Drosophila melanogaster: one gene and its partner. The protein of the gene in region 1 purifies or fractionates together with the protein of each later gene. This does not show direct contact. Each region holds a gene or a part of one and is shown in the gene's direction. Other genes may lie near its edges. The genes, in order: CycT and pgc.

Region 1 (18,139 bases):
TCGTTTCGTTGTATTCGTTTTCCTTTTTGCATATCTCGCTCAACATGACATTTCTATGAAATTATGATGCGAATTTTTGTATTATTAGCTCGTTGGATAGGCATTTTTGACAGCTGTGAAGAGGACAGGGGCGTAGCCAAGTGGTTGGTGGGCGGATTAAAGGGGATTGAGGGGACTGAGAGCCCTGCAAAGCATTCCGTGATGAGGCCAAGTATTCGTTTAATTGGAACAGCAACGGCATCTGGGGATTCGAAAGTATGCATTATTCTGGTGATTGAAGCAATCGCAAATTTAAACTGATGTTGCTGAAGGATGCTTAATTATTCAGCTAATACCTTTGTGGATTTTTTTTATATACATACATATATGCATAATTAATTTCCAAAGAAATGTATAATTAATTAAATTTTGTTAATGAATTCATAATCTAGTGAATTTGGATATGTTTTATATTGATATTTTTACGGTTTTTCTGTAAAAGCTAGCTTTATATATCAAATCACATCAAGGATAGGATAGGAATTCCAGTCTAATGACATTAACTTGGCAATAAAACCTTAGATGCATTTTCAACATCTTAACTTAGAGATGTATTTTCAACCACCTCCTCCTTTGCTCCTTCATTTCAGACACCGAAATTCCTATTGTCAAGCAATCGACAAGTCCGGCACCGCAGCAGCAACTGCAGCAGCAGCACCACCTGCAACAGCAGCAACAGCAGCAGCCGCACAACGGCTCCACCTTCGCCGGCGCCACCGCTCTGCTCCACATAAAGACGGAGCAAAATACGCTGCTCACTCCGCTCCAGCTGCAGCAGCAGCAACAACAGCAGCAGGGTCTACACGGTGCGGCAGGCAACGGAGGCAGCAGCAACGGCAACAATGCCCACCAGCAGCAACAGCCGCTGGCCATCCCACAACGCCCGCTGCTCCACAATCTGCTTAGCGGCGGTGCCATCCACAATCCGCACCACAGAAACTACACGACGGCCACAACAGGTGATTATACACAAGGCAAATTAATGTCACATTCTAAAAGCAACTTGATCTTAAAGGATATGTGCAACAATTTGTTAAAATTGATTCAAAAACTTTTTGATTTTGATTTGAGAACTTTTTAAAATTTTAGAAACTACAAATGTAATGTTTACTTACATATGTACAAAGTTGTAACCCTTAATATGCACCAATCTTTGAACTAACTTTGCTACTTTAAATTAATCTCGAAAGTCTTTATTAAAGTAACGCTGCATTTAAAATGACATTTAATAGATAACTTAACGTCCGTATAGTTTCGAATGCATTTGTTATAACAATGCCAGTTTCAAGTTGAAAGAGATCTTGTTTTTTCGAGTGCATTCAGTAGTGAGGCGAGCGTGTCCAGCAGCAAGGTGAACCACTGCACACGCCCTCGACTCGATTCGAGCCATATCGATTGCTAATTGCCCCTTTTCTTGGCTCGTCCTCGCTCCGCGCGGCTCTATCCCGTTCGCAGGTTCATTTCCGCCCAGTCCCGCGGACAGCGGCGTCTCCGACGTGGACAGCTCCAGTTCCGGCGGCCAGCCCTGCGCCGACGAGCTGAAGGCGCGTCTCGGGATGCCACCAGCCACCTCGGCGTCGGCAGCGGCCGCGGCAGCAGCGGCGGCGGCGGCAGCGGCACACCTGCACACGGGCACCTTTCTGCATCCGAATTTATACCAGAACAATGCGGCAAATTCGCTGCGGAACATATGGAATCGCAGTGTTGGGGGTGAGTATCGAGTATGCCTGAGAAAAACGCAACCAATTCCAACTGTGTGCTTAAGTTTAGAACTGAGTTTAAGGGCTAGACTTATAATACATTTTTTATACACATCAAATTGGGAGTGTGTGAAACAAGACAAGATGGTAAAGGGACTTAATGACGTCAACTTATAGTAAGAATTTGAATTGCAATTTTATTTAAATTTGCCTTTTTAAGACTGAAGTTTTGCACACTGCTGCCTACTTACCTTAGTGCAGTCAATGTTTACGATTTAGACAGGTACTAAGGATTTTACACATAATTGGCAATGAGCTAAGATTAAAGTAAATCGCACAATTATTTCGGGGATTCGATCTAAGCTGAGAACGGTTTTATCTCAACCAATTAATCATATGACCTAATGGGGAACTTTGCATATTGCAATCAATTTGAAGTTGGTATAATCTGTTGCATACATAATGCACTCCTAATCCAGCGTACTCTTTCCTACAAAATGTCAGGCAAGCAAGGCGCACGCACACATACCCATGTACGTACAGCACAATCAATTGCAATGCGAATGTGTTGCACTCGCTGCTTTTATGCTCTCTGCCAACTGAGTGCGTGAGTGTGTGTGTGTGTGAGTCCGTGTTGCTGTATAAAATCTGTGGTCATCGACACATTGCCTTTGCGCAAATTGTGAAGGTCACAACGACAACGACAACGACAGCAACAGCAGCAGCAGCAGCGCCAATGTGGCAATAATGCTGCTCGCGAGAGTGCTCCACTCTCTTTTCCTCCTTCTCCCGGAGAGGCGGAAAAGAGAGAGAGAGAGAGAGAGTGAAAGAGTGCCAAACACCAACGCAAATGCAACAGCAACACGAACGTGACACATGAGCAACACACGAACAACACAGCGTGCGTTGCTCTCTGTGCGATGTGTCTGTGAGAGAGTTGGTGAGAGAGTGGCGCTGCTTACTTTTGTTTTTATTCAGATTCAGCCCAGTCTTTCCCCACTCTCATCCTGTCCCATGCCCCTGTGCCCCCCAGCCACACCCCCCGTCTAAAATGGTCCACCGAATCCAAAGACGACTGCGAATCCAAATCCACTGACTGCCAACTGGCTGAGCCGCGAAATTGGGCAACGCCAACGCCGGATGTAAAAAAAAGAAAAAAAAAAAACTTACTAAATAGCATACAAAATTATACCTGTGCCACCACACAGAAACAGAAACAGTGTGAAATAGTCGCAAGCGATCTGCGATCTGGGTACAATGGGACAGAACGGGTTGCCACCAAGCAGATTCATTTGGGTATATTATTTCAATTTAAGTTTAAGTTTAGTGCACGTTCTTGGATGTTGCATATTTGGGTACTTACCTTATGATATTAAGCTGTAACCTAAAAATTTAAATTTTAGCTCTGACCCTTTTTTATACTAATGAGTAAATAACTTTTAACGGAGTCTAAAAGTATGCTACAATATATGAACATATGTGCATTGAAAATCACAAAAGTAGCATGTCTGTAAGCAACACGAATTTAAAAAATTTATTTGCAATGCACACAGCTAGAATGATGGTTACGAAAATAGTTTCAGGAAAACTTTTAATTTGATGCACGGTGATTAGTTGATTTTAACTATGAACTGGTATGGAGAGAAAGGACAGGGCACGTGGTGATAACGTGGGCTATGATGACATTATAATGTGTTATTGCACGTAAAATTTAATATATAACTAAAGTGGTCAACTTCAAAGTTTTTAGCGGAAATTGGTGGTTTAAGTTGGGGAAGCTCACCAGTATATTCGTTGGTTCAGCAAGCCGCTTTTGTTCTCAAGTACTCATTTATATATTTGACTTTGTTCTTGCAGTGCCCGACAACTACTACGGAAGCAGTGGCGCCGGCAGTGGGGGCACCCAGCCAGGTGGTCCGGGAAACCCCCAAACGCCTGGCTACCTGACAACGTCCTACTTCAACGCACCGACAGCGGCAACGGCAGCGGCGTCCCAGCGAGGAACCACAATCAATGGCTATCATTCCCTGCACCAGCAGCAGCAGCAGCAACAGCAGTCGCAGCAATCGCAGCAGCAACAGCAACTGGCCCACCAGCAACTGTCGCACCAGCAGCAGCAGGCGTTGCATCAGCAACTGTCGCACCAACAGCAGCAGCAGCAACAGCAACAGCAGCAACACCCGCACTCCCAACTGAACGGTCCGCATCCGCACTCACATCCGCACTCTCATCCGCATTCGCATCCGCACGCGGGCCAGCACACGCATTCCACAATCGCTGCAGCGGCGGCAGCGGCAGCAGCATCTGTCGTCAGCAGCAGCAGCAGCGCCGTTGCAGCGGCAGCCATGCTGAGCGCCAGTGCAGCGGCAGCAGCAACGGCGGCAGCTGCGGCGGGCGGATCCCAGAGTGTTATCCAACCGGCGACGTCCAGCGTCAGCTACGATCTCTCCTACATGCTGGAGCTGGGCGGATTCCAGCAGCGGAAGGCGAAGAAGCCGCGCAAACCGAAGCTGGAGATGGGCGTAAAGCGGCGCAGCCGGGAGGGATCCACCACCTATCTGTGGGAGTTCCTCCTCAAACTGCTCCAGGATCGCGAATACTGTCCGCGTTTCATCAAGTGGACGAACCGGGAGAAGGGCGTCTTCAAGCTGGTCGACTCGAAGGCTGTGTCCCGCCTGTGGGGCATGCACAAGAACAAGCCGGACATGAACTACGAGACGATGGGCAGGGCGCTGAGGTACTACTACCAGCGCGGCATACTGGCCAAGGTGGATGGCCAGCGGCTGGTCTACCAGTTCGTGGATGTGCCCAAGGACATCATCGAGATTGACTGCAACGGTGTGTGAAGTGATGAGGACGAGGAGGACGACGAGGCCTGTAAATATAGTTCGATCCCAGATCGCAGACGGATCGAGCTGGAATGGCAATAGGTTTTGGGTGGGGTATAAATCAACCGGCTAGCGGCAATAGTGGCTGAAGGCCACGCGAGATAGGGATTTCTTTGTACATGCGTTGAGTTTCTTGGTTAGCCAGCGATAAGCGTAGGTTACACACATAGCTGATAGTCCCAATACGCGTACATATACTTATATATATATATACATATATATATAAATATATATTCACACCCTGTGTCCTGTACCCTATACATACACCCAGCTAAATCGACGGTAAATAATGATCTATTCATGGGCGTTAGTGTTGTACTTGTAACTGTAGATTTAACTGTAAACTGTAACTGTAATGAATATTGTTATTATTGGTTATTATTATTATTATTATTACTATTACTATTATTAATATTATAATTATTATTGCTACTGCTATGGCGGAAGGAAGAGGACGAAGGACGACCGAATTGATTCATATTGATATTCGATAGATGTGTGTAATATGTAAATGAGTACGAACCCCTATAGCTGCAAGAATTTCTCTATCTCTATTGATCTAATGCTAAATCTAAATGTATATGAGTATGTATATGCCTAGCCTAATGACCTTTCAACTGTCCCCTAGCCCAACCCGCTGCCCGAGGACAAGCTCAGTGCAGATGCAGATATGGGTCTATGTATGAACATATGTATACGGAGATCTGAACGATCTGCACGGGTGTCTGTGCTTGGGCTAATTGTTTTTGTTGCTTATTTTATAAACGAAGAGAGATGGAAATTTATTATTTCATAGTTTTAGCTATTTGTACGACTACGTTTAGGATATTTATTTAAGTGTTTCTCCAGCTAATCCCCCGAAACTTTCCCCAAAACAACAAAAACACACACATCCTAACTGGAGCTAAGAACCCAGCAAACTGGTGGTCTAAACTTTCTTGTAATTATTATTTGATAAGTTTTGTATATTTACAACATCAACAGCAGAAAAGCTCACAGGATAAACCCGAAGAAGGCACTTCTTGAGCCCTCGTTTAAGCAGTCTTAGAACACCAAACCAAACTCAAGTCTCTCGATCTGAAGTTTATTTATAAAGCATAAAGTTAAACTACCGTATTCTTGTTAACGTCACACTGCCACAAATCGAAACAAGCCTTACATAATGGAACAGATCTGGACATTTAATCGAACCAAACCGAGATACTGACCCATAGTTTCAACAATACTGCAACCGCAATCCTCAATGCAATATACCGACAACTTCTACAACAATTTCCAAACACTGCCCAAAACGTGCAATCTCTTGAAAGGATACCTTGAATAGGAAAGAGAATAAAACCAACTCCTAGTTCTTTAATCTAATTCTTTAATAGTTGCGTTCTCTAAGTACCTTTATCTATTATTATTATTATTATGTGTACGTGAAGATGAAATCTACAATATATCATTTTGTTTATGATGATTGGTGATTGATGATGCAAATAAACAAAGTGAGTCTTGAGTTCAACTCTGTTCATTGTAAACAATTTTTTATGATTATTTTTTATTTTTTAAATAAAATTATTATTTCAATTTGTGCATGCGTTTTATTTACACATTCGCAAACCAAACACACCAAAAAAAAAACAAACCAATATAAAAACCGAATGAAATATAGAACGTAAGCAAAGATATGATACAAATATATGGAACCCGCTACAAATTTGGAATCTAGATATACCTCCCATGAAAAGTACATAATGTTGCATAAGTTACAATATATTCAAAGTCTATATAGGATAGTCGAGATTCGGATTGACGATATTTGAAGTCGAGATCACATATTTTAGATAAAGTCCAGTCGGTGTATTTTGTAGTTCTAAGACACCATTTCACGAGGTCTCAGTTTATGAGGTTTCCCCCAGATCATGGATTTATATGTATGTCTATTTATTGGCGTAGATCACCGCATCTACCATTATTACCTAGCGTAAATCAGTTATTAGTTGTTAGGGAATGAATATTTAAATGTTATAAGACCTTAGATATAAGCACACCCACAACAAGAGCAGCATCGAACCAGATATGCAAAAATCACGAGTCGAGTACAACGAAATCGGTAAACAAGAATCTGAGCCACAACCCGGATAATGCAGCTTTAAATCGAGATAGTACATTTAAATTTCAATCTCCTATTTCCCAGAGAGCTCTCCTTTCACTTCGATAGCCTAAATCAGTTGGAGACTCCAACCCGAAAGCATTTATACATGCTAAGCACGATAATTGTACATATACAACTTCTGGACCTCATGACTCCACTCGATTATAAACGTATTTTATATGTATACACCAATTATTTGTTAGATTGGATAACCCCGAATGGCTGGATAAGACCAACTAAATTATATGCAATAGAATATCGATGCCGTTGGGCAAGATTTCTATGCTAGGCTAAGGCTAAGACAAGATATCTTTCTATTGGTAACTCAAAAACGAAACGAACTATATAGCTTTTAAATGGAAACGTGCGATTATTCAAAGGTATTCTATGCCGCCTGAGAATAGTAGAGATATGGATTGGCCTAGATTTAGACGAATATGTTGAATGCATTAACATTAGATACGATTAGTTTTTGACTTACTAACCTAAGTTAAGTTTTTAGACTGTTTATTTCACTTTTTGTTCAATCTTTGTACATTTGACAGACACATTTTAAAAATGTCTGCGATGAGAAATCAGCTAAAGCCAGCCACAATATATATAATATATATATATATACTTTAATGCTTATGTAGTAAGGAAACGAACGTTGGATCGAAGTCATGGTATGTAGGTGAATTTTATGGTTAGAGGCAAGCGCAAGCGAACGGATTAGATTAATTTTTATAAGAATGCATTAAGAAAAACGAAGCAAGTAACAGTCACAAGCTAGCATAATTATTTACTGTTATGACGACATAAGAGTTTTAAGGTTTTTAGCTAAATTTTGTATATTTTAATCTACAAACTATAAATATATATTATCTGTTTTATAAATAACAATAAAAAATTCATATGTGTTTTTATGACAGATTTCAAATGGGTAGAGCATCGCTCTCAAAATGTATAGCCATTTTGAGCTGTACAGGAATTCGGAATGTCTTTTTTACTACTAGTATTATTTCTTATGATTCGGTCGGTTATGGCTTATACGCATAGACCAATAACTCTACATATCCCCACCCACAGAAAGAAGTCACAAAATCTGGGAGGCCAATTACAGGTCCAAAACGTTAGATTAGTCGGTCACCATTAAATCGATTGTGGCACGAGCTGTGTGACATATTGCGTCCTCTTTTTGGAACCACAGGTCCTGGACATCATGGTTGTTCGATTCAGGAATGAAAATGTTGGTAACAATAGCCCTATACCGATCGTCATTTACTGTAACGTACTGGCCATCGTCGGCTTTGAAGAAGTACGGACCAATGATTCCACCAGCCCATAAAGTTTTTCTGGATGTAACGGTGTTTGAGGATTGGCTTCAACCGAAGTGCTGGTTGTCCGACTAGGTATATAAACATATACATAACAACATTTGGATATTTTGATAAAAAAAAGTCATGCGATTAAATGAAGGTGCTCAAAGTACATATATAATATGTCCATATACATATAATAAGATATATTTAAGATGGGACTGTTCAAACATATTAAGTACAAATTCGATTCCCCCGGAATATACGTTATTTTTTAATTGAATAAGAAGGGAAAAAATGTTGACATTGTGATATTTCTACATGTGTTAGCGAAATGTAAAGTTTAAGGTAAGTTACTTAAAAATGTATTTACATTTATTTGAATATCTACCTTACGATTATTAATCGATAACATAAACAGTAGAATCAATGTTGCCATATTTTAAAAATAATATCGATAATGCGAAATAAACATCGGTTTGGAAAGCCTTATCGATCTGGCAGCCCTGCCGACGGCCATACTTGAAAATACATTTTTTTCTGCAAAGTTTGTCATTGTCACTGTGTGAATGGAATCTGTGATGTGTTGTGGAATTAAAAACGTCGAGTAAACGACCCGTAATGGTTAAAGTGCCCGGCGAAAGCAGTGCGAATAACTATGAATTGATACGAAAGTTGCATAACACGTCGCCTGGTGTCGCGGTTAGTGTGTTTTTCGTCTCGTTTCGTTTCCGCCGCAGTCGCAGTTTCCAGAAAACCTCACCACACCATACCATCTCCACCACGCACACACACACACAAACAAACACGCAGAGACGCGGCGGCGGAAAAAGTGTGCGGACCGCGGATTTAACCCCTCGTTCCAAACCCAAATTGGAGTCTCCCAAAAACAGCGAAATATCGAGTGTGGCTTAGCCGATGTGCCGTGCGATCCCCACTGCCCCTTCCGTACCGCTGCCACCCCCGCCACAGCAGCAACGCACACGGATACGGACACAGACACCAATACCAGCGCACTCAAGCACGGCCGACAAAGAAAGAGCGCTCTCCCTTCCTCTTCGTACAGTTAGTTCCTACAGCTGAATCAGCCAAAAGGGAATTACTAGGTCCATTCCGAGGCGCAGTTTGCATGTGAAACGGAGGTCCCCGCATAACCACGCGGAACCCGAAATCCCAGATCCCCATCTCCGCTGCACGGATAAAGGAAACATACAACCATGAGTCTCCTAGCCACGCCAATGCCCCAGGCGGCCACCGCCTCATCTTCTTCATCCGCCTCCGCGGCCGCCTCGGCCAGCGGGATTCCAATCACCGCCAACAACAACCTGCCTTTCGAGAAGGACAAGATCTGGTACTTCAGCAACGATCAGCTGGCCAATTCGCCAAGCAGAAGATGCGGCATCAAGGGCGACGATGAGCTGCAGTACCGCCAGATGACCGCCTATCTGATACAGGAAATGGGTCAGCGTCTGCAGGTGTCCCAACTGTGCATCAACACGGCCATTGTGTACATGCATCGGTTCTACGCCTTTCACTCCTTCACCCACTTTCATCGCAACTCCATGGCGTCGGCGAGCCTCTTCTTGGCCGCCAAGGTAGAAGAGCAACCGCGGAAGCTGGAGCATGTTATTCGGGCCGCCAACAAGTGCCTGCCGCCGACCACCGAGCAGAATTACGCCGAACTCGCCCAGGAGCTTGTGTTCAACGAGAACGTGCTCCTGCAGACGCTGGGCTTCGATGTGGCCATCGATCATCCGCACACGCATGTGGTGCGCACCTGCCAGCTGGTCAAAGGTATGCACCCACCATCCGACCCAAGCCATGTCCCCTTCACATGTCAGATGGTACTGATTACTGTGGTATATTTTAGCATGCAAGGATCTGGCGCAGACATCGTACTTCTTGGCCTCGAACAGGTATGGCTAGCAATGCGCTACTCTATGGTGTAATCCCTCCTAGAGATCGCCCCCAACGCAAATACGGCTGTGGTATAAGCAATGTGTGTGTGTGTGCGGGTGTGGTGTTGGCCCAATCCTCCCCAGAAAGTGGTCAGGCTGTAGAGAGTTCGATCCCTGACTTTTTGTGGCTAAAATCTTTGGGCAGTTCTTTTACCTGCTTAATTCCTCGCTTATAGCTAACAAACCCAGGTATGTGAGTCGAAACAAAAAAAAAAAGTGACGACCCCAAGTCACAAATCGAACAAGAACACGCGGTCCCTAATCGCAGCAGGACGTCTGTACAAATATCGCATCTTAGCAAAAAGGCAGTATTTTCCGTGTCCCTCGCGGTAATTATCCTCAGTTGCCTGCAATAACATTGTAATTTGTGTCGGAAAATCCGCCAAATGTCAAGAATAAGACTAATTCCTAGAAAGAGTCGTTAATTCCTAGAAAAAGATATTTGAAGAATTGTAATGATAACCATTGTAATCCTTTGGCATACTAAAACATCTGGAAAAAAGATAAATTCAGTTTGGCATACCTGCCTACCTAAAACATAGTCAAAATTCTGATTACATGAGGAGAGCTCATTGGGAAAATTTGCGCATTTCGAAATATCGGCAAACGTTTTAGAATAATTCTTTTAAGTTTAAGATCCCCAAGAAATAAAAGAGACTCGCTAAGAACATGCTAAGAACTAAAGACGTAATCTGTATTATAAGTGATGAAATCCCCCTGCACACACTCACCGAACTACATTTATATGTGATATTCTTGCAAAAGATTTCCCACTAAATTGACTTAACCATCCTGGCACAGCCTGCATCTGACCTCGATGTGCCTCCAATATCGCCCCACGGTCGTAGCCTGTTTCTGCATTTACCTAGCCTGCAAGTGGTCCCGATGGGAGATCCCCCAGTCGACCGAGGGCAAACACTGGTTCTACTATGTGGACAAGACGGTCTCGCTGGATTTGCTAAAGCAGCTGACAGATGAGTTCATCGCTATCTATGAGAAGAGCCCGGCCCGTCTGAAGTCTAAGCTTAACTCGATCAAGGCGATCGCCCAGGGAGCCAGCAATCGGACAGCTAACAGCAAGGACAAACCAAAGGAGGACTGGAAGATCACCGAGATGATGAAGGGCTACCACTCAAACATCACGACACCACCAGAGCTGTTAAACGGCAACGACAGCCGGGATCGGGACCGAGATCGTGAACGGGAGAGAGAGCGGGAACGGGATCCGTCGTCACTACTGCCGCCACCGGCTATGGTGCCGCAGCAAAGACGACAGGATGGTGGCCATCAGCGCTCGTCCTCAGTGAGCGGAGTGCCAGGCAGCAGCTCTTCGTCGTCTTCCTCCAGTCACAAGATGCCAAATTACCCTGGTGGCATGCCGCCCGACGCTCATACGGGTAAGTATTTCAACAACTGCAAAAAGAATCACATTTTTAACATCTTCGTATTGAAGATCACAAGTCAAAGCAGCCGGGCTATAACAATCGAATGCCCTCAAGTCACCAGCGTAGTAGTAGCAGTGGACTCGGTTCCTCGGGAAGTGGCAGCCAGCGCAGCAGCTCATCCTCGTCGTCTTCAAGCCAGCAGCCTGGCCGACCGTCTATGCCCGTGGACTATCACAAATCCTCTCGCGGCATGCCGCCGGTAGGCGTGGGCATGCCACCTCACGGCAGCCACAAGATGACTTCGGGCTCCAAGCCCCAGCAGCCGCAGCAGCAGCCGGTCCCACATCCATCCGCCTCTAATTCCTCTGCATCGGGCATGTCCTCCAAGGATAAATCCCAGAGCAACAAAATGTATCCGAACGCACCGCCGCCATACAGTAATAGTGCCCCTCAAAACCCGCTGATGTCGCGTGGTGGATATCCAGGCGCTAGCAATGGATCCCAGCCCCCGCCTCCCGCCGGATACGGCGGCCATCGCAGCAAATCCGGCTCCACCGTCCATGGCATGCCGCCTTTCGAGCAGCAATTGCCCTATTCCCAGAGCCAGAGCTACGGCCACATGCAGCAGCAGCCAGTGCCTCAGTCTCAGCAGCAACAGATGCCTCCGGAGGCATCCCAGCACTCGTTGCAGTCCAAGAACTCGCTCTTCAGTCCAGAGTGGCCAGACATTAAAAAGGAGCCCATGTCGCAGTCGCAACCACAGCCTTTTAACGGTTTGCTACCCCCTCCTGCGCCTCCCGGCCACGATTACAAGCTAAATAGCCATCCGCGCGACAAAGAAAGTCCCAAGAAAGAGCGACTAACGCCAACCAAAAAGGATAAGCACCGTCCTGTCATGCCCCCAGTGGGCAGTGGGAACAGTTCCTCCGGCTCGGGATCATCAAAGCCGATGCTACCGCCTCACAAGAAGCAGATACCCCATGGCGGGGACCTGTTGACCAATCCTGGAGAGAGTGGAAGCCTAAAACGGCCCAACGAGATCTCGGGAAGTCAGTATGGACTAAATAAGCTGGATGAAATAGATAACAGTAATATGCCTCGAGAAAAGCTTCGCAAGCTGGACACTACAACTGGACTACCAACTTATCCGAATTATGAGGAGAAACACACGCCTCTGAATATGTCCAACGGAATCGAGACAACGCCGGATCTGGTGCGCAGTTTGCTAAAGGAGAGTCTGTGTCCATCGAACGCTTCGCTCCTGAAACCGGATGCCTTGACTATGCCTGGCCTGAAACCACCGGCCGAACTGCTTGAGCCCATGCCCGCACCAGCGACAATCAAGAAAGAACAGGGAATAACTCCGATGACCAGTTTGGCTAGTGGGCCCGCACCCATGGATTTGGAAGTACCCACTAAACAGGCCGGAGAGATTAAGGAGGAAAGCAGCAGCAAGTCCGAAAAGAAAAAGAAGAAGGATAAACACAAACACAAGGAGAAGGACAAGTCCAAGGACAAGACGGAAAAGGAGGAGCGTAAGAAGCACAAGAAGGACAAGCAGAAGGATCGTAGCGGCAGCGGTGGCAGCAAGGACAGTTCTCTTCCCAATGAGCCTCTGAAGATGGTTATCAAGAATCCCAACGGCAGCCTGCAGGCCGGTGCGTCAGCTCCCATTAAACTTAAGATCAGCAAAAATAAGGTTGAACCCAATAACTACTCTGCAGCGGCGGGTCTGCCTGGCGCAATCGGATATGGCTTGCCTCCAACTACGGCTACCACCACATCCGCTTCGATCGGAGCAGCTGCTCCTGTTCTGCCTCCTTATGGTGCCGGCGGTGGTGGCTACAGCTCATCGGGCGGCAGCAGTTCCGGTGGCAGCAGCAAGAAAAAGCACAGCGATCGTGACCGCGACAAGGAGAGCAAAAAGAATAAGAGCCAAGACTACGCGAAGTACAATGGCGCTGGTGGCGGCATCTTTAATCCCCTTGGCGGTGCTGGCGCCGCACCCAATATGTCTGGAGGAATGGGCGCCCCCATGTCTACTGCTGTACCACCATCCATGCTGTTGGCGCCCACCGGTGCAGTACCACCCTCTGCCGCTGGGCTGGCACCGCCTCCCATGCCCGTCTACAACAAGAAGTAGTGGTAGCGGTCAGAGGGTTATTCTTAAGTCGTACGTTTTGATATATGTATAGAACCTCAGTAAGTCCGATTGTAGTATAGTTGTTAGGATTGTTAGTGAGATGCATTATTGATTTTAGTTAAGCACATAGATAAAACTCCAAATTGGAAGTGAAACCGGATGCGCAGATCGAAGAAGAGTGGAAGTAGATGTCGCGATGGGGCTGGACGTAAAAGCAGTACTCAAATCGCGAAAACTTTTGTACAGCATTAATTAATTTATAACTATAATAAATAGCATACATATAAGCCCACATACATAAAAATACGGAATAGTTTTAAGCGAATTGTTGGCAAACGGAATCAGAGACCCAAGCAGAAAATTCACAGAGAGCAGCAATGGCCGTCTAGCGTTTAAGTTAGCAAATCAAATACCCGTTTCACACACTCTAACCTGTATATAGCCACTCTCACAAACACACAATCAAGAGATATATAGTACAGACTTCCGCTTAGCAAATATACTAAATACGGCCCCAACTAAATGCAAGCCAGAGAGATAGAAAGAGTAAGAACTTCAAAATAATCCCCACAGAGGAGCATATAGTTGTGGCAGAGGATAGGAGAGTAAATGGAAAGCCAGCGCTTTGATTCAAAATTGAAGACGCCAAACCACATAATGAATTATTTAATTAATACATAGTTGCTAATCCGAAAATGAATGAAGATGTTTATTTTTAGTTAGCAAAGTTTTCCCTTCCTTTCTGAACGATTGCCCGATTACTAACCGTGTTTCAATATAGTTTTCGACACCTAGCAATATATACAGTAGTGTATTTACACTTTTCAATGAAGATAAGTAAAAAGATCGGATTGTTTCAGCGGATGATATTATGTTTCAAGATCGCCTGGAACGTTGACGTAGCTTTCATTTGTTTTAATTTATTTTTTAAATAGCATTACAAAACAAATTACCACAACAAAAAAAAAACCAAAACAAAAACAAATAATAAAGTCCCAAAACAAAAACGGAATATGCAAACAAAAAAGAAACCCAAAACTAAATTTTGGATAAAACAAAAGTTGTTGTGCAAGAAAACAAAAAGTTTTAAAATTATGTAAATGCAAGCGAAAACGTTGCAAGCAAACTAAGCTAAACGAACGAAAAACTAACAGAAGGCTAAACGAGGAGAAACAAAAGTTAGGCATATAGAAATCTAGGCATGATCTATATATTCGAGGCGAAAATGAGAATGAAATGAAATTTTATGTAATTTTCGACTAAGGCAAAGGTTAAGCGAACGTTGCGCGTTTTTCAAAACTATTCGTACTCGTATATTCGTATTCGATTTCTCTACTACTGCATTAAGCTGCAAGCATATATAGCTCTAAACACACCACACATCCATTCACACACCATCCATCCCATGCAGTCGAGAAACGTATTCTTTAAGTTGGGAACCCGAGAAACCCGTTTTTATAATCGATCGAAAGAATGCGCAATTTGCGTCTAAGATTTGGATTTCCCTTTATATACTTATTCTTGGCCCCTTTTACCACACTCCCCGCCCACGCCCATCCCCACCCCTCGCCCCTCCTAACTTAAGTTTTTGTACATACTTGGAAAGCAAATGGAAAACCCGCCGCTCGGGTGGCGGGCAAGTGTCGGGTTTCATTGGGATTGTTTGGTTGTGCGTTCGAATATGAATTCACTCGTCACTTGCACGCCCCCACGAGGGCACAAATAAAAATCTTCAAAACCCCGCAAAATTCTAAACAAAAAACTATAAAAATGCAAAAAATAAACAACAAAAAAATCAGGAAAATTAAATGATATGTGTTTTTCTTGCGGTGCTTGGGGGAACTTCTTGTTCAACTTTCTGAGCGAAACTTCAGATTCTTGAAAACGGTCCAAATATTAATTAATTTTGTACTTAAAATTTTAACTAAATTTATTCTAAATATCTCATTTGTTTCGTTAGCAAATAACTCTTAAATAATTTAAATAAATATCTTAACTAAAATAGGATTCTAATTTGGAAGAGAGAATTTGTAATTTAGATGCATTTTAATGGAGTCATAATGTACTTTACCGCTCTTTAGAGTGTTTTAATTATCCAGTTTATTTAAATCATTGCAAGTAGATCTTTCTTAGGAAGAACAGTTTAGTCTTAGCTTATTCTTTATTATGGGCGATGATATGGTTAAGGATCCAGTCCAAGTAGCTGCTGATGCGGGTGAACACGGCCGGGAATCCCACTTGACATCCCATAGAGGTTCCAAAAGAGGTGGATCCGATCAGGTAGCTGGAGTTGCCCTGCTTGTAGACCAGCGGACCGCCAGAGTCACCATGGCAGGTGGACTTGCCGCTGGTGGTGCTCATGCAGATCATCTTCTCCGACACAGCTCCACTCCAGTACATCCGGCACAGGGAGTGAGGCATAATGGGCATCTCCACGTATCTCAGCACGGGGGAAACCGAGTCGGAGGCATCGCTTTCCCGCCCCCAGCCGGAGGCGAAGGCCCGGATGGACTCGTACGTGGGAAACTGGCCATTCAAGCGACGGGGCAAACTGGCGGCCCGGATGCGATCAGTGAAACCCACAAAGGCGGGCAATCGAATAAGCGAGATGTCGTTGACCACCGTGCTGGCCATATAGTTCGAGTGCACTATAATACCCGACTTCTCCACCATGATCCTTTCTTGACCCTCCTCGGACTCATCACCGATGTTTATGGCCCCCAAATAGACCGTTACGGACTCCGCCCCATCCATGCAGTGTGCTGCTGTGATTATCCAGTAGTGTGAGATCAAGGTGCCGCCGCACCAAGTGCTCCAGTTCCCGAAGGAGACGTTCAGACCGGCCTGGTAGGGAAACTGACCCACCTCCGCCGGTTCTCCATTCGTAATATAGGGTTCCACATCGGTAAGGAGGGGAACAGCCGTACAGGATCCTACCAGCAGGACGCAAACCAAAAGTTTCATCATTTTCTAGGTTCAAAATAACTGAGGCAGCGAGACTGCTTCATGGTTATATAGGAACGGGTTAAGCCTGCAGCTTGTTATCTCATGATAAGGACCTCTTAAATTTCGAGCACCCTAGACCAATGGGATTATTATACCATGATCACACAACAAACAATTCACTTGACTTGGGATCCACCCAATGAATCACTGCAAATTGAAAACCTACGGCACGTGAGATGGCTAATCAGGTATTTTCAATTTAAGTAGTGCACTAAATTTAAAATCTAGTTGAACTTCGATTAGCAAATGAGGTCACGTAATTACTTACTTATTCCCAGTCCTTAGTTGATTTGATATCAGTACTTACAATATACGATTGATAGCTTCACTTATATCGCCTGTCAACGCGACATCCATTTTTAAGTTAGCAAAGAAATTGTAACATACTTTTAATTGCCGGCCACTTAAAACAAGCTTTCATTTCAAGTTAAGAGTAAGAACCTCTTCAAAAATACGCTCAGGTGTTTTGACTATTCTTTGAATAAATGCTGCTATCGGAAACCCGCGATTAATGAAAACATATGTACTTTAAATTGTTTCGGTAATCAAGTGGCGTTCAGATGAGTCCAAAGTGATAATGCATAATCAGGCATTACTTCTTATAGATTAACCAATTTAGGGGCCATAAATCCGCATTCATGTGGATGGACTGCGTCAGTGGTGCGAATAGTTGACTCTGAAAAGCATGCAAATCAGTACGATTTTAGTTTTCCTGCTTATCTTGGTTCAGGGAAGGTCGATCTCTTGCCTGGATATGGGTCATGGGATTGGAGGGCGAATCGCTGGCGGGGAGTTGGCCCGAGCCAATCAGTTTCCCTATCAAGTGGGTCTGAGCATCGAGGAGCCCAACGATATGTATTGCTGGTGTGGCGCTAGTTTGATCTCCGACCGATATCTGCTAACGGCTGCACACTGCGTTGAAAAGTGAGTATTTAGTGAAGCATTTAGTTAATATAGTACTAAACTGATAACTTTATCAATTCAGAGCGGTAGCTATCACCTACTACTTGGGGGGAGTGCTGCGACTTGCCCCTCGGCAGCTTATTCGATCGACTAATCCCGAAGTGCATCTGCACCCTGACTGGAATTGCCAAAGCTTGGAAAACGACATTGCCCTTGTACGATTGCCAGAGGATGCCCTGCTGTGTGATTCCATACGACCCATCCGGTTGCCAGGACTCTCATCGAGCCGGAACAGCTACGATTATGTTCCGGCTATCGCTTCCGGTTGGGGCCGCATGAATGACGGTAAGAACTGAATGATAAATCAAACCGAAAGTCGTACGAATTAACCATAATTTATACTAATTTCTTTTTATTTAACCCCACACACAGAATCCACTGCAATATCGGATAACCTGCGTTATGTTTACCGCTTTGTGGAATCCAATGAGGACTGTGAATACTCCTACGCTAACATAAAACCTACTAACATCTGCATGGACACAACGGGAGGGAAATCCACCTGTACCGGAGATTCTGGAGGACCTTTGGTCTACAGTGATCCTGTGCAGAACGCGGACATTCTGATCGGCGTCACTTCCTATGGCAAAAAGTCGGGCTGCACCAAGGGATATCCATC
Region 2 (15,181 bases), on another chromosome or scaffold:
ATCGATTCCAAAAAGCACAATGTGATTACCCAATCGTTTAGTTAGGGTAACCAAACCAGTCGCGTGCAATCAAAGGGCAAGCAAACTGAAACTCAAATAAACAAGCTCCAGTTGATGACAGACCAACTCGAATCGCGAGATTGAGAGTCAGCAATTCTCCAGAAACTATTTTCGGCATATGCATTACTGTTAGATGATGTATACAGTACTAATCAATAAGGGAAGTACTTTGCGGATACGGTAGTGCGAATTGTGCTTTCACTGGATTCTGAGTAACGTGTTGAAAATACGCAGCGAATCATATGGGGTGCAAAACAATTGCCATTAAACGATAAGCAAACATTTGGAAATTCGTCGATTCGAATGTAGTGTACCTACTAAATTAGCATGCGAAATGATGTCAACTCTCCGGGTGCCAATGTGCTAATTGGGGCAGTCAACTTGGCTCACCATTTCGTCATGCAGATCGGTGATTTTTAAGGAAATAGGTGGACAATGTGCGCATTCTGAGACCAGCCATGAGCTCGGCCACCTCTCCAGAATGTGGTTGATTCAATAAACGCATATCTACTTATCTGGCTCCAGCAATTAGCGATAAGATAGGGCCCGTTGGGTGTGAGTCGTCTGTTTTTGTCATTTTCTCAGAAGCGGCCATTACTGTACTGTATAACGTTGAATTTCCTGGTCCATTTCAGTTTGCCCATCTACAGGAAAATGAGTCGCCAGTCGACTTGCAGGCTAGTCCTGCTGCTGGCCTTTACCCTGGCCCTAATCCACGCCAGCCACTCAAATACCGTGGGCCCCAAGATCCACTTCATTCATGACGATCTGACGGAAAACGAGCTGAACTCTGGAGAGGAGGTGAGCCCGACCGAGAGTCTGCCCAAAATCTCCACCCCCAAGGTAAAGGATTTACCCGTGGAGACGACCACCAGGAGCCCCACAAAAAAAACCACGTCCTCCGGCACCGAGAAGTCCCTTAGCGAGGAGGCTTGGAATGATCTGATGGAGGCGGCCAAGCACAGCCAAGCTTTGGCTGATGATCCACACTTCAACAAGATGCTCAATACTACCGTCGCCGCCGGGGAGAAGAACTCCACCGATACCGACGATAGCGAATACTATGACTACGATGATGATTACAACTATTTCGATGAGGAGACGGTGACGATTTCCCCCAGTCCCAAGAAGGCCAAGAGCAACCCCAAGCTGCAGCCCATTGTGGATGCCACCATCACGAAGTCCAAGGTATACTTCCCCCATCATCCTTAAATTCAAATAAATATGTTTTCGTACTTTACAGAGCAAATCCAACGACCAAAAGACCAAAGAGAGTGCTAACGATATCGACAGCGACTCTCAATATGACTACGACGAGGGTCTGGATGATGATGATGACGAGGACGATGCCGCTGACGACCTTTTGACCGATGATGAGCAAGTTGTCTTCAGCGAGGACGTTCCGTGTCCAAGATTCTGCCAGTGTGCCCGGAATGTCAACAGCTATCTGGTGGCCACCTGCAGCAGACTTGACATGGGCATCCAGAAGTTTGGCTCTGACATTACGGATTTGGTTGTGACCAATGTGGGTCCTAAGTACCCCATCCTGATGGGACCCAACTTCTTCCAGAATCTGGGTCTTAAGAACGTGGCTTCCATCAAGATCGCCAACTGCACCTTGGAGTACCTGCACGCCGAGGCCTTCCACGGACTGAACGAGCTGTACGCTGTTAACTTGACGGATGTTGGTTTGGCTATCATTAATCCCGATACCTTTGTTGGAAACAAGAAACTGCGCATGCTGACCATTTCGGGTAACGACTTGAGTGTGATGTCCAGCATTCACTATTTGCTGAAGGTGAGTGATTTCAAAAACCTTTACCTTGAAATCCAGCTAATAAATTATAATTTTGCAGTCTTCCAGCATTGAGGAGCTGGACTTCTCGCGCAACAACCTTATGGAGTTGAATCCCAAGGCCTTCTCCCATCTATCCAATGTCGTCTACATTAACTTGAGCCAGAACAGTCTCAAGAAACTGCCCGAGAAGGCTTTCGAGAAGGTTACTCTTCTGGAAGAATTGGATCTGTCTTACAACTCGCTGACTGAATTGCCCCGCGATATCTTCAATGGCACCACCCTGTCCATACTGCACCTGAAGTACAATACCTTCAATGGCGATCTGCACTTTGGCACCAAGGATCTGCAGCAGCTGGACTTGAGCTTTAACTCGATTGTCCAAGTGCACCACAGCATGTTCGACAAGATGCCCGGTCTGACCAACCTGAACCTCAAGGGCAATGGCATTAAGAAGATCCAACCGGACTCGTTCCTTACTTTGAAGAACCTGCGCCACATCGATTTGTCCATCAACGATCTGGACCAGATCTCGGGAATGCTGTTCTTTAAGAACTCTGAGCTGGATGTGATCCGTTTGAACGACAATCCTCGTCTGAGCCAGTTGCCCACCGATGGCTTCTTGAGCTACAGTGGGGAGTTCACCGTCTACTACCTGGATATTTCCAATTGCGCCATCGGTCCATTGGGTCACAAGGCCTTCTCCACTATGCCGCATTTGACCACCTTGAAGTTGGCCTGGAACAACATTAATCATCTGCCGCGCGAGATTTTCACTGGACTGCACAAGCTGATTGACTTGGATCTGAGCAACAACCTGATCACCCGCATGGACGATCTGATCTTCATGGACAACGGAGAGCTGACTAAGCTCAGTCTGGCTGGAAATCCCATTAGCCGCTTGTCCGTCCGCCTCTTCCTGCCGCTGCACCAACTGCGATGCCTGGACGTCAATGACTGCGAGCTTACCACCTTGCTCTCCGATCGCGACTTGGGTGCGGGTTACAAGATCTTTGACAGCCTGCGCTCCTTTAACGCCTCTGGTAATTTGATCAAGAAGATCTCTTCGGAGGATGTGAAGAGCTTCAAGAACCTGCGTTCTCTGGATATCACCAACAATCCGCTGAAGTGCACTCCCGACTTCCAGGAGTTCATCAGCTACGTCACTCTTCAGATGCAGATGACTCCCAAGCGTCTGCCCGTGCTGGCCAATCTGGAGGACGATGCTACTATTGTGCAGCTGGAGACTCTGGCTCAGGCTGGTTGGTCGTCTTTGGCCCACGAGGTGTGCAAGCATGCCGAAGGATCAGATCTCTTGGACGAAAAGAAGGCCGACAGTGCCGAAGCCAAACTGGAGAAGCGTCTGAAGGAAAGCGTGAAGAAGCTTAACGAGGATGAGGCTAAGTTGCTGAGTGTCCTGGACAAGAGTGTGCTAGACAAGAGCAGGCTGAGCAGCATGCAGAAGATCATGAAGGGATCGGTGAACACTGAAACCGCGAAGCCTGAGGAAGATGCTGACGAGGAGAATCTGAACAATGGCGGCGAGGATAAGGAGGATGACAGCAGTGACTATGACAGTGAGGAGGATGATGATGACGATGATGAGGACGATGATGATGACAACAACGATGATGATCGCTTCGAGGAGGCCAAGAAGAATGCCAAGGCTAAGGCCGATGCTAACAAGGCCTTCGACACGTTCGTGAACAAGGAACTGAAGCCAGTCCTGAAGACCGATGGTATCCAGGCGGAGGAAGTGGACATGTCTCAGGAGACCCGTGATAAATTCCTTCTGGGTAAGTTTTAGCCAATCATTCGTTGATGGAATGTATTCCAATCGTATGTTTTACCTTCTCAGAGAAACTGGGCTTCGACAGCGAAAGCGAGGAGTCAGATGAGTACACCGAGAAGATGATCTTCCACGGCGAACTATCCTACGACCTGGTGGTCCCACTGATCGTCGTGTCCTTCTGCCTCCTGATGATCGTGCTGTCCATCGCCCGAGTGATCTACGTGGTGCTGCGCAAGCGCGGCGAGCGCTATCGCATGGCGCTGCTGGCCTCAAAGAACTCGTTCGTATACCAGAAGTTGAGCGAGGACATCGTGAAGCCGACCAGCAAGGAGCAGAAGGAGCCCAAGCATCTGAAGCAGCCAAAGGTGCACCGATACGCGCCCATCAATCAGGTCTAAGTCCACCTAGAATCAGCAGTTCCGGGCCGGTGGCCGCGGAAATCGAACGAGTTGCGCTGTTTTTCTAATTTATAAGTATATTGATAGTTGAAAAAGTGGAAAATCACATCAGACAATTGACTAAACACAAGCACAAGAATGTAAGAAACAGGAGGAGGAGCAGTAGGTGGCAGTTAAAAGTATTAGCGAAAGTGCGAGGAAACAAAGCAACAACTAAAAAATACTTGAATCCAAATAAGAGATTGAAAGAGAGAGAATAAATCTTTGACAAAATCCTTTATCCTTGAAATATCCTGTACCATCAAATACTGTTAAGACCAGTCAAAGGTCCTTGGCAACAGCAGAGGTGGGCTTTCAGAGAACGCGTTTGATGAGCAACCGTTTCGAAAGCAACGGATTTGCAATTTATCAAACCTCTGCCCACAATCCGTATCCAATTAGTCCATATCCGGGAACAACTTGAAGATTTAGTGCCATTTTGCCAAAATTCAAACCGAGCGAAAATTACTTAAACACATTAAGGTTTCTAAACTGAGTGTCAAGTCAGGAACAAGAAACGAGGAGCGAGGAACAGAAAGTAGTAAGAGTTTTAGATGCGGGTCTGTGTAGCAAACGGTTAGGAGACTCCCTAGAATGACGTCTGATTTTTAATATGATCAAGAGATGAGAGAAATAATTAATGCATAAACTATGTTAAGACTTTTTTATTATCTTTTTTCCAATCGAAGGCAAGTAACAGCTTGACCTATTCGACATTGAAACCGATTCCGAAAACAATAAATTATTTTAACCAAACCGATCGTAATCTTTACAATGCATACTTAATAGACATACACACTTGCATACGTACTTTAAACAATAACATGCCTTTCAATAAAATTGAATATATTTTATCTGCGTTCAATAAAAGACTCAAGTTGACCGACATCCCCTTCCTCCTTTACGTAGGTGCTCAAATTCCGCTGGAAACAGAGTGCCAATTCGTTATCTTCCCGATCCCGTTTCAGTTCCTCTCTGACCTGCCGCCACATCCGTTCAAATCCACTATCGAACGGCATTCCCAGGAAGCGATTATGTCTGGAACGGAGTTCATTGCCGATCTGCTGCCACATTGCCTCGAATTCCCCGTCGTAGGGCATCCCTAGAAATTTACCCTCACATCCGGAGGATTCGAACATGAAGGAGTACTCAAACATGTTTCAGTCTAAAATATATTATAATTACAAAAATTACAAGCTTTTTTTGGAGCAACTAATTTGTAGGATTTAATCCTTTTTTTTTTGTTTTAATGATATGATATCATGTATGATTTGTATGATATTATATTAATATTAATATCTTATATCATAGTATTTTTGGTCCCAGCGTCGGTCTTCTTCCTGCAGCTTAGGAAAGCAAACTGAGTAGAGGATTCTCAAACGAAGTGCAGACCAAAAAAGAGGCCACAAAATAATGCTGAATGTACATAAGATCCATTGCGACAAAGAACATAAAGTAAACAAAAATCAAGCAGGGCATCAAATTTCCTGTGATTCTGTATAGGGTTTTTAATGGTATTTTTCGTATATACACAAGTCCAACCAAAATTAAATGGTTCACTCTAAGCTTTTTATACGCTTAAAAAAAATAGAATTTTGAAAGCTCAAGTATGGTCAGATCTTAAACGAAGATCCGTTAGTTTAACATTTTTTTTTCTTCAAGAGAACAAGTTGAGCGTGGGTAAGTTTTGGCTCCAAATTAATAGACCTCCATGGACTTCTCAAAGAGTTGCGACAGGTTTTCCTGCGTCTGCGCCCTGGGTGCTAGCTTAGTGATCCTTTCCTGGGGCAGGGTTCCCTCCACCAAGGCGGGTATATCGCTGCTGGAGAATCCCAGCTCTCGGAGGCCATTTTCTATGCCCGCGCGTTGCATAAAACCGCGTACAGTGTCCGCCAAAAGACGACCGGCGTCTGCTTTTTCGACACCTCGCACTTCTGCGCCCAGCAACTGGGCAGCCTCCAAATGCCGATCCGGACAAGCTGGAGCAGTGAACTCAAAGACCGCCGGAGCACTGATCACCACGGATAGGCCGTGTGGAATAAGAGCGTGATCCGCGGAGTAGCCCTTTGGCTTGTAATCCCTCACATTTCCAGAAATAGGATAGGAAAGGCCATGACACAGGTGCACTCCGGCATTACCAAATCCCACGCCAGCCATTGTGGAAGCCAGGTGCATCTGGGATCGGGCTTCTAGGTTATCGGGCTGGTAAATGGCGTTCACAAAGTTTTTCCTTATCGTCTCCAATGCGAATCGTGCCCACACATCCGACACTGGGTTCCTGCCCTGGTAGGTGGGTCTCAAGCTGGGATCACTGGGCGCCAAACCGCGTTCCCTGTAATCCACCGCCGTGAAACTCTCCAGGGCATGGCAGAACACATCAAAGCCAGCGAAAGCCATCACGCGTTGCGGCTGGGATAGGGTGTGCAGAGGATCAATCACAGCTAGAGTTAGATAGAACGATATTAGAATAAATTATTTAAAGAAGTTCAGTTTTTTACCCAAAGTAGGTTTGAGGAACTTGCTGGAAATCCCAGTTTTGGCATGCAACTTCTTGTAATCAAATATAGCTACTCCAGTGGTTTCGGAACCTGTTCCCGAAGTGGTGGGCATCGCAATCAGGGGCTTCAGTTTTACGGATATCTAAATGGAATTCAAGTGGTATTAAAGGTACTAAGTCTAAAAAGGAGACCTCACCTCCTTGCCTCTGCCAATTGGGCAGTTTACATAATCCAAAAACTCTGCATTTGCATCACTGCTAAAAAGATTAGCTGCCTTGGCTGTATCCATGGCAGATCCTCCTCCGATGGCCAGAAATGCATCGAACTCCTTGCCGCGCGCAAACTCCACGGCATGCCACATGCTCCCATCCGTGGGCTCCACCCGGGTTTCATCATAGACTTCGTAGTTGATGCCATTACGAGCCAGTGAATCCAAGGCCACTTTCACGGAGGGCAATTGCACGACATTTTTATCCGTGACCAAACAAACCTTCCGAGCTCCCAAGTTGCGAAGATCGGCTCCCACTTCGGCACTTACTCCCGGTCCAAATCGAACAGTCGAGGCTGACATCTGTTTATCAATACATTTGACCAAATTTGAATTAGAATTTGTTATATACCGAACAAAATTTAAGTTAAAAGTATTCACAAGATCTAAAATATAAATTCTATTGGGATGCTTAAGAATATAGAGATAGTATTATCTGGTCCAGGGTATGACCACCTGTCTAAAGATGAGAATCTACTATCTGGAGGTGCTCCAAAGTCCAAGGTTTTGCCACTTACCTCGAAGGCGTATTCCATGCGACCCGTTTGGGAGGCGGTTGGAGCTGCTGAGCCATAGTTATGCGAATGGGCGGGGCACTTGCAGCTATAAGACCATACTTTATTTAAATCACTTGAAATCAGTTATAAAACGCAATTTTTACTTACGAGTTGGCCACGATCGTGTTGATCAAACCTAAGACATTCTTCCGCGACATTCTGTATATAAATGAAATCAGCTGGACTGGTCTTTCGTTTGATAAGAACCCGCCGAATCGATAGCTGGCGCCAAAAGACAGCACTTCATAATCGATAGCTAACAATTTGAAATTCTCTGTCTTGCAGCTTTGAACTACAAGAAGACCCGAAAATGTGCGACTACCAGATGGAGTACTCCTTTATTTTTGAAGACAGCTCCTGCGAGGGCGATGCCTCGATGGCATCCTACGACAATGGATTCGAGTCCATGTGGCATCAAGTGCGCGAGGAGTTGCAAAGGGAGCGGGAGATGAATGAGCTCTGCCAGGTTTTCCAGCAAAACTTGAGCCTGAGTCCGCCGGTCATCGCGGATAGATGGAGATTCTGACTGGACCTCCCAAAAGCCAACTTATTGTGATATTTGTAAATTATAGTTTTAGCAGTTCGTTTGCCACATGAGTGGAACATCGTGAATGCACTTTTGATAAGTGCTCGGTTATTTTATATTGTAACTACCAGCCTTCAGAGGCGATCGTATGCATAGTTTCTTGAAGTCAATTTGTCCGTGTATTCAAATGTTTGCTTTCGTGAAAACTCGCATTGTTTTGTCACTCTACCAAGTAATCAATTTGTACCAATCAATCGCATATGGTTGTCCTAGATCTAAAAATGGCAATAATTTGCCTTCGGTATTGCACCTAATGTATTCAAGAACAAGTAGGGAAGCTCGAAATTTCTCAAATACTTACCCAAAAAATAGATAGAAATATATTTTCGATTCGCAATCGTTCAAAAACCCATTCGTTTTTAATTACGGGTCCCACAGTAAGATGTGACTGCGATTCAATTGTAATGGGAACAATTGTTCCCATTACAATGGAGCTAATTACCTAAATGTATGTCCGCCCATTTTTCGCGCTGGATTTACAACTCAATTTGCCGCGCTATCTGGCCGATCTGCGAACATAAACTACTGGCAATGGTAAACGATGTTGACGGCAGTTTCCCTCATTAGCATGCAGATCGTCGCCGATCTTCTGGGCGCCAGGCCATAAAACGTTTGATTCCAGGCGTATCGTTCAGCAGTTTGTGTTGAACTGGTAATAACTCGACATCGCGATCGCGAGATGAAGTGGCTTAGTTTGTTCCTGGTATTCGGCATCCTCGGACTCATCGGCAGTCTGGGCACTTTAGCCCTAGCGGAACCCAATCCGGAGCCCAAGGGTCGTCCGCACACAACGCGACGTCCTCGAAACGATAACGACAACGATCGACGCTAGCAATCCGAGCGGCTGGAGGAGATGGAAAAACCCACGAAATCTCCCCGAAGATGCACCGAACCACAAAGGACACAGGAGGCACAGCGACTCACGGTGAAGGTGAAATGTTTTGGAGTCGAGAAAATGCAATATGTTGAGGTGCTGCTCATCTAGCGAGTGGCATCTTCCCGTGCACAATAAAGACTCATTCGTTTACAACAGAGTTTTGATCATGGGTTTATTCGATAGTTTTCTTCGACATAGGTCTACAGTTAAATTGGTCAGCTTAATGATACCCTGACGCTCTCGGGGATTCTTCGATACTGATTGATTGGCGGATAAAGCAGGCTGACTGACTTTCTTTGGTTGTGCGAGGGTTTTTTTTGGGGAGTGCGTTTGTATTTACCATATATTTGATTCTGTTTCGGATTTTACCATTACCATGCGATATTGAACGTTGCTTAGGGCTTATCATAATTTACAAAGTGCCGCATCTTGCGGCTTATCAAATTTAATTCAATAGTTTCCGTTTCCATTTGCTTAGCTACGATAGTTTCGGTTACAAAATAATTTCAATTTATCTAAATTGCAATCGCATCTCCAGTGCCCAAATCGGCTTGTAATTCAGTGAGTATATTACCGTCACGCAATCTGCCTCTCACTTTTAAATCGGTTTAGAGCTATCTTTACAGTTACAATTACAATTAGAATTACATATATGTGATTGATTAGACTAATGCAGTTTGTTGGAGTTGGGGTGGAGTTTTTGATTCGATTTGAATTGATTCGAGTTGATTCGATCCTTACTTCTCTTGCCTGCGATTGGGGCTTAGTCTACACAATATAATTATGTCGTTATTTATGTTTAGCATATAGTTCGAATTTCTATCTGATTTGATCAAATGATTACTCGCTTATCTTGTATTACTTGACGCATATGTATCTGTAGCTGCTGAATGCTTGTATCTTGTAGGTGGGTCTGACACTGACTTGAATATAATTGAGTTTGCTTGTAGATTCTAAGCTCAAATGCAGCTGAAAGGGTAAATGGGTTATGGGGGGGTGAAAGGGATTTTCATGCGGGAGTACAGCTGAGTATCTTTGGTAGTGGTAGTTGTAATCCTATCTAGCTAGCTTTTCACTCTTATTCAGGGGACTCCGATGAGGCCGATATGCCGCCCAGACTGCAGGCCCCCACGCTGCCCGCACTCGTCGAAGCCCCAATATCGCTGATGCTCTTCACGCGCCGTCGACTCTGCTCGTAGAGCATTTGTGGGTCGGTGGACACCGCATCCAGTGCCCCACCAACTGGCGGAGCGCTCACACGATGACCAGGCGGCGGACCATGACTATAGATGCCCCCAGCCGAGGGAATCGGCGGTGGGGCCGTCGTAGGCGGCGGCAGGAAGTGATGGTAGTGCTGCTGCTGGAGATTGGTGTGCGGATTCGGATACTGGTGCCCTATGGTTGCGTATATTCCTCCGCCACCCTCGCTGCTGCTGTACGAAGGCGTTGGGGAGGTGGAGTTCCCAAAGGAGCTGCGGTCCCCGGTGCGATGTGGTTTGCTGTTAAACCGAAAGGCTTTAGACAGGGAGCTCTGCAAACGGAAATACAAATATTGAAATGTGCTCCTTGAGTGAATGAAATGCCAACTCACCTGAGATCCTTTCCATGCCGAAATCTGTTTAGTAAAATAAATGAAAAGAAATAAATGTTAATAGTTTTAATTTGCACAAGAACACTTGTTTCAAATCCTAAACTTTTGCCGACAACGGGAACACTTCGGAACTGTCATGAAACTTTTCCTGTTCTTAGGTGCCTTAGGAACTATAAATATTTTCCAAATCAGTAATTATATCCATGCTAAGGTTATCTAATACATGTCATATTTGCTATGTTAAAGGCATATTCATTATTTAATTGTGATGAGTAGATATTTGAGTTTCAATATTTAACATATCCTTACGAACTTATTCGTTTTAAGCTGACCAAAAGCTAACAACGATGTATTTTGGATAGCCAATGAATTTTCGCTTAAATATTGTAACATCCTTGAATGTCCTTTATCTCAACTCAGAATTTATCACATACTTGTTGGCACCTTGGAGTGTAAATTATAGTCAATACAGCCTGCAAAGGCAACCTATCATAAATTGAATTTTCAATTTGGATGAAAGCCTGTGAAAACATGCTCCCAGTGATATGAGAACACTTGCTGAAGCCACCTCTCAGGGATTTAAATAATTTATGACACAAACACCGAGCGACAACAAAAGCTTCACGTCAATTCAGGCTAGGGATATACAGCAATAGTTGTTTGTCGACTGGCACAGACGATTATTGTATTCAAGACATAATTGGCTATAACTAGCTATGTTATTAGTATTAAGTACTTACCCTGAGGTTGCCGCTCGAGCGGCGATCTGTTGTGGCATAGTGCTGCAGTCCGCCGGGTCCCGTTAGAGGCACTACGCCGCAACCGGAACGGATGCCCTGACCCAGAGTCGCTCTACACAACAAACATGGCAATTTCGATTTGCGAATTTTTGCATAGGTCATATGCGTGTGTGTGTGTGTGGGTGGGTGGTGAGTGGGTGTTGTGGGTTCACGGGGGCATATATCATGTTGTGAATGGGTTTGGATGTGCATGTATTTTTGATTTTCATGGGCAGGCAGGCAGGCAGCACATTGAAGACAGGACACAGACGGCAGATAACGGGAGTGTGGAGTTTTCGAGATTTCAAATTCGAATACATGGAGTGCGGGTGGTCAGGCAGAGCGGCAGAGATAGCAATACAGAGCCAGAGAGAGAGAGAGAAAGCAGGCAAGGCAGGCACACATACACACACAGAAAGTGGTTTCATTGGCATGTTGTTGAGTTGTTGTTGATTGTGTTGTTGAGTTGTTGTCGGTATGGTTGTTGTTGTGTTGGTAATCGTGTTAGACAATCAAGCAGAGTTAGCAACAACAACAAGCCGTCAATTCGATTACCAAATTACAAAATTGAAGGGAAACATACGGAGGTGAAAGCAAAAGAGAGTGGATCGAGTATAGGAAATATGAAAAAAGAAACGGGACAAAGACGAAAGAATTTGATTAATCAATGTTAGAGAGATACTTTTATTTTGATTTGTATTCGCCATGGCACAATTAACTACACGTAGCGTAAAACAACAATGAAATCAAAGATCTATAGTGAGTTAAAAACCCCCGAAAGAATAGAAACTAGAAAGTAAAGGTAACTTGAAAAAAGAATAGCATTGCTAACAGTCACGAAACCAGCAGCCATAAAAATTGTCGTTTTTGTTTAAGCCTTACAATTCCAATCACACATATGTAGTATCGTTAAGGTATTTGAATGCAGTGGTACTTATTAAGTTGACAACGATTAGACTAGTTCAAGCTACTTAAAAACATTGATAACACATACATAGAACTGGTTTTCGGTTGTCTGCGTATGTTTTCGAGTATGTGTGTGTGTGTTTGAGAAATAGAGAGAGATAGGCTACTTAGTAAGCAAGTTTTACTTACAATTGACACTGTAGTTGCAAAATTGCAAAACCAAACAAACGACTTCTTAAAGAAATTAACTTAGAGGAGCTATAGCCCTGCGGTCAAATCTTCAGCTCCAGAATTCATTACTTCGCATTTTTGTTGCCCAGAAATATGCAAGCAAATATTTGATACAGCCATATGCAATAAGCAAGCCATGTCAACAAAATTACATTTTTAGGAGCTTACTCTTTGGAACCTTGGCCATGGCAGACTCGATACCGCAGGGCGAAACTCAATCAAAACGCTTCACAGTATGCAACACCAAACATGAACTATATCATCTAACCACGGAAATGTAGATGTGTATGTGTTCATGGACCTGTGTGCGAGTGTGTGGTTATGTAATTGGTCTTTAGGGTTCCATTGTGCGTTCAGTGGCTGTCTAACTGAGCTCAGAAAACAGCTTCAGTATCACAGGGAACTTGTGTGTTTCGGCCTAGTGACGAAAGACGCTCATGTGGAAGGGTGTGTGTTTGGGGCATTTGCAATGCTCTATCTTAGGCGTAACAATTGATTATATCTGAAATACATACATATTTCAATTCCCTCCCCGATTACATTGCCGTAAAGCCTTAACCCTAGATTTCTACTACATTAAATGCTCGCGATTCGACTTGTAAATCAACCTAAGTAAATGCAACGTTAAGCGCTCCTCGCGGAGAGTATCGTTATAATTTCGATATCGGATATGCAAAGCTTGGACACTGGTTTTGTTTTTGACGTGTGCGTTCCTAGTTCGATGCCTAAAGCACTTTATAATATTGTGGTATGATTACATGTACGGCTACTACTCGGATGTGTGACTATCCTTGGGTGGATCTATCAACTATTCGTAATGACGAAATGACTAGCGCTGTGCTCCAGTTATTGTTCTCTCCCTATAGTTATTATCGTATCATCTTTATCAGCTTGGCTAAACAACAAATCAGTATGAATCCCGTTTGACTTTTGATTATTATTCATTTTCATTATCGAGTTCTTTGGTTCGTGCGGATTGTTTAGTGGCCCTGCAATTTGGCCAATTGTCTGGAGGCTTCCATTTGAAATTCTTCCATTTGACAGTAAATAAGGTATCTGCATTTCGAATATAGAAGATACAAATAAACATGGTTCGAGATATTTTGTGGGAAAGAAAAGAGAGAGAAACATGGCCACGAGGGCCGCCATTAGTGCGATTCGCTTTTGGGCGGTTTTATTTTGCTTAACAGATCGTCTAAGACACGTTCACATGATCAACAACGAAACAAAGTACAGAATTACTATCTAAATATACAGGCTCGAGGACCTTTACATACTTATGCACGAGTAGACAGAGTTAGATACAGATATGACATCGCATGATATGACATCTAATGAGTCGAGAAGTTGGCATTTCTGCAGTCATTATTTCATTGGTGATGTGGAAGAAGATAGATGGATGGTATGCACATAAGAAGCAGCTTATAAACGAATGATCAAAGCACTAAATATATTAAATAGCCAGAGATGATGTGAATATGACTGAATAATGTTTCGGGTGTATGTTTCGGGTGTCGATGATGATGCAGATGATGAAATGAGATCTGAAGAGCTCCCATTTGCGAAATACGAAATACTTCCTGCTAGCAAACTTGAACCAAAAACAAAACTCTTGTAAACGATATGGTCTTAACGAAGGTGCAGAAATGAACACAAACTCAAACTCAAACGCACAACGAAGACCGTTAACAGAATGTTATATAATCTCGGGGTGGTAATGGTAATACAAAACGGCAATAACTCAATCAAAACAAAGACAACTCTAATCAAAACGCTGTGTTACGCTACATATTTACGTTTCCACAATTCACATGTCAAACCCGAGGGGCTACACAAAGGACACTCACACACAGGGCGCACACAAACACACACGCACACACACACACACACACACTGAGATTCTAGATGGGCTCCGTGGGGCTGGTAAACCCTCAAAAAACTTACCGTGCGGGCAAAATGAGGGCATCGAATTCCGTGTTGAGATGTCGCCGTATTATGTTCTTCGAGGGGGGAATGCCCAAGGCGGTGGCCATGGTGTCACCAGAGAAGGATGGTTCCAGCACCACAAGGCCGCCATGAACGCCGCTATCTGCAGGTGGGTGGAAACGGGATTAGAGTGGGTCAGGGGAGCCCTTCTAATTGCTGCGCTGAATGGCATAATCAAAGGGCAATCGATATGCCATACGCACCCTTCAGATTGTCCGCGTATTCGCCCAGGTCGATGGATCGCACCCAGCGAATGAAGCGCTGGTTCGTCCACACAATGGGGTCCGTGTCCACCGTCTCGGATTGCACCCGCCGCATGGCCAGAGTTTGTCGGTCGTACTTGACGATGCGCAACACGTGAATGCCTGCGAAAAGGAGCCAAAGGGATTGGCATTTAATATGGCTTGGCGAAAAGGATACCCGATTATTAAAAAAAAAAGCCTCAGTTCAGTCATCTTACCGTGAACAATGCTGGCCTGGTGGAACTTCCGCGTAACGCCCAGGAACTTCTCGAGCTCCTTCTTGGAGAGCGTGTCCAGCATGCGAGCATCGACCAGGGACTGCACAAAGGGTTCCGCGTACTGGGGCAATCCGATGTCCGGAAGCCACTCGGTGGCCACCCAGGTGTGACCCAGCTGCGTGATAAGCGGATAGCGCACCATCTCCGGACGGCGCTGCTCCTCGATGGCCAGCCGCAGTTTCTTGCGGTGCATCGGATGGGCCAGGCCCAGACCCGCCTCCAGCTCCACGTCGTTCAGCTCCAGCAGCACTTTGCCGCTCTTCACGTTCTCGGCGCACCTGGCGCTGTACTGGGGCAT

Evidence for each region.
Region 2: the proteins of CycT (region 1) and pgc purify together in Drosophila melanogaster (affinity purification with western blotting; one study listed by BioGRID). This does not show direct contact.

Annotation. Positions count from the first base shown.
Region 1 is NT_037436.4:17,548,216-17,566,354, reverse strand, and holds CycT (cyclin T), read left to right. Parts: upstream 1-8,566; 5' UTR 8,567-9,282; coding exon 9,283-9,859; intron 9,860-9,935; coding exon 9,936-9,981; exon of another isoform or gene 9,982-10,212; intron 10,213-10,523; exon of another isoform or gene 10,524-10,824; coding exon 10,825-11,420; intron 11,421-11,476; coding exon 11,477-13,551; 3' UTR 13,552-15,351; downstream 15,352-18,139. Other genes in the region: Eip74EF (Ecdysone-induced protein 74EF), read left to right, coding at 630-998, 1,495-1,749, 3,597-4,585; CG7542 (uncharacterized protein), read right to left, coding at 15,706-16,518; Jon74E (jonah 74E), read left to right, coding at 17,243-17,481, 17,543-17,805, 17,893-18,139. UniProt on the Drosophila melanogaster protein: Regulatory subunit of the cyclin-dependent kinase pair (CDK9/cyclin T) complex, also called positive transcription elongation factor B (P-TEFb), which is proposed to facilitate the transition from abortive to production elongation by phosphorylating the CTD (carboxy-terminal domain) of the large subunit of RNA polymerase II (RNAP II).
Region 2 is NT_033778.4:22,324,480-22,339,660, forward strand, and holds pgc (polar granule component), read left to right. Parts: upstream 1-5,720; 5' UTR 5,721-5,782; coding exon of another isoform or gene 5,783-6,525; intron 6,526-6,582; coding exon of another isoform or gene 6,583-6,724; intron 6,725-6,778; coding exon of another isoform or gene 6,779-7,153; intron 7,154-7,368; coding exon of another isoform or gene 7,369-7,453; intron 7,454-7,515; coding exon of another isoform or gene 7,516-7,565; exon of another isoform or gene 7,566-7,593; intron 7,594-7,691; exon of another isoform or gene 7,692-7,692; 5' UTR 7,693-7,717; coding exon 7,718-7,933; 3' UTR 7,934-8,334; downstream 8,335-15,181. Other genes in the region: Gp150, read left to right, coding at 696-1,248, 1,304-1,858, 1,917-3,651, 3,714-4,045; CG34207 (uncharacterized protein), read right to left, coding at 4,936-5,241; T3dh (type III alcohol dehydrogenase), read right to left, coding at 5,783-6,525, 6,583-6,724, 6,779-7,153, 7,369-7,453, 7,516-7,565; CG34208 (uncharacterized protein), read left to right, coding at 8,673-8,825; Liprin-gamma, read right to left, coding at 9,949-10,401, 10,462-10,485, 11,202-11,313, 14,322-14,466, 14,567-14,728, 14,824-15,181.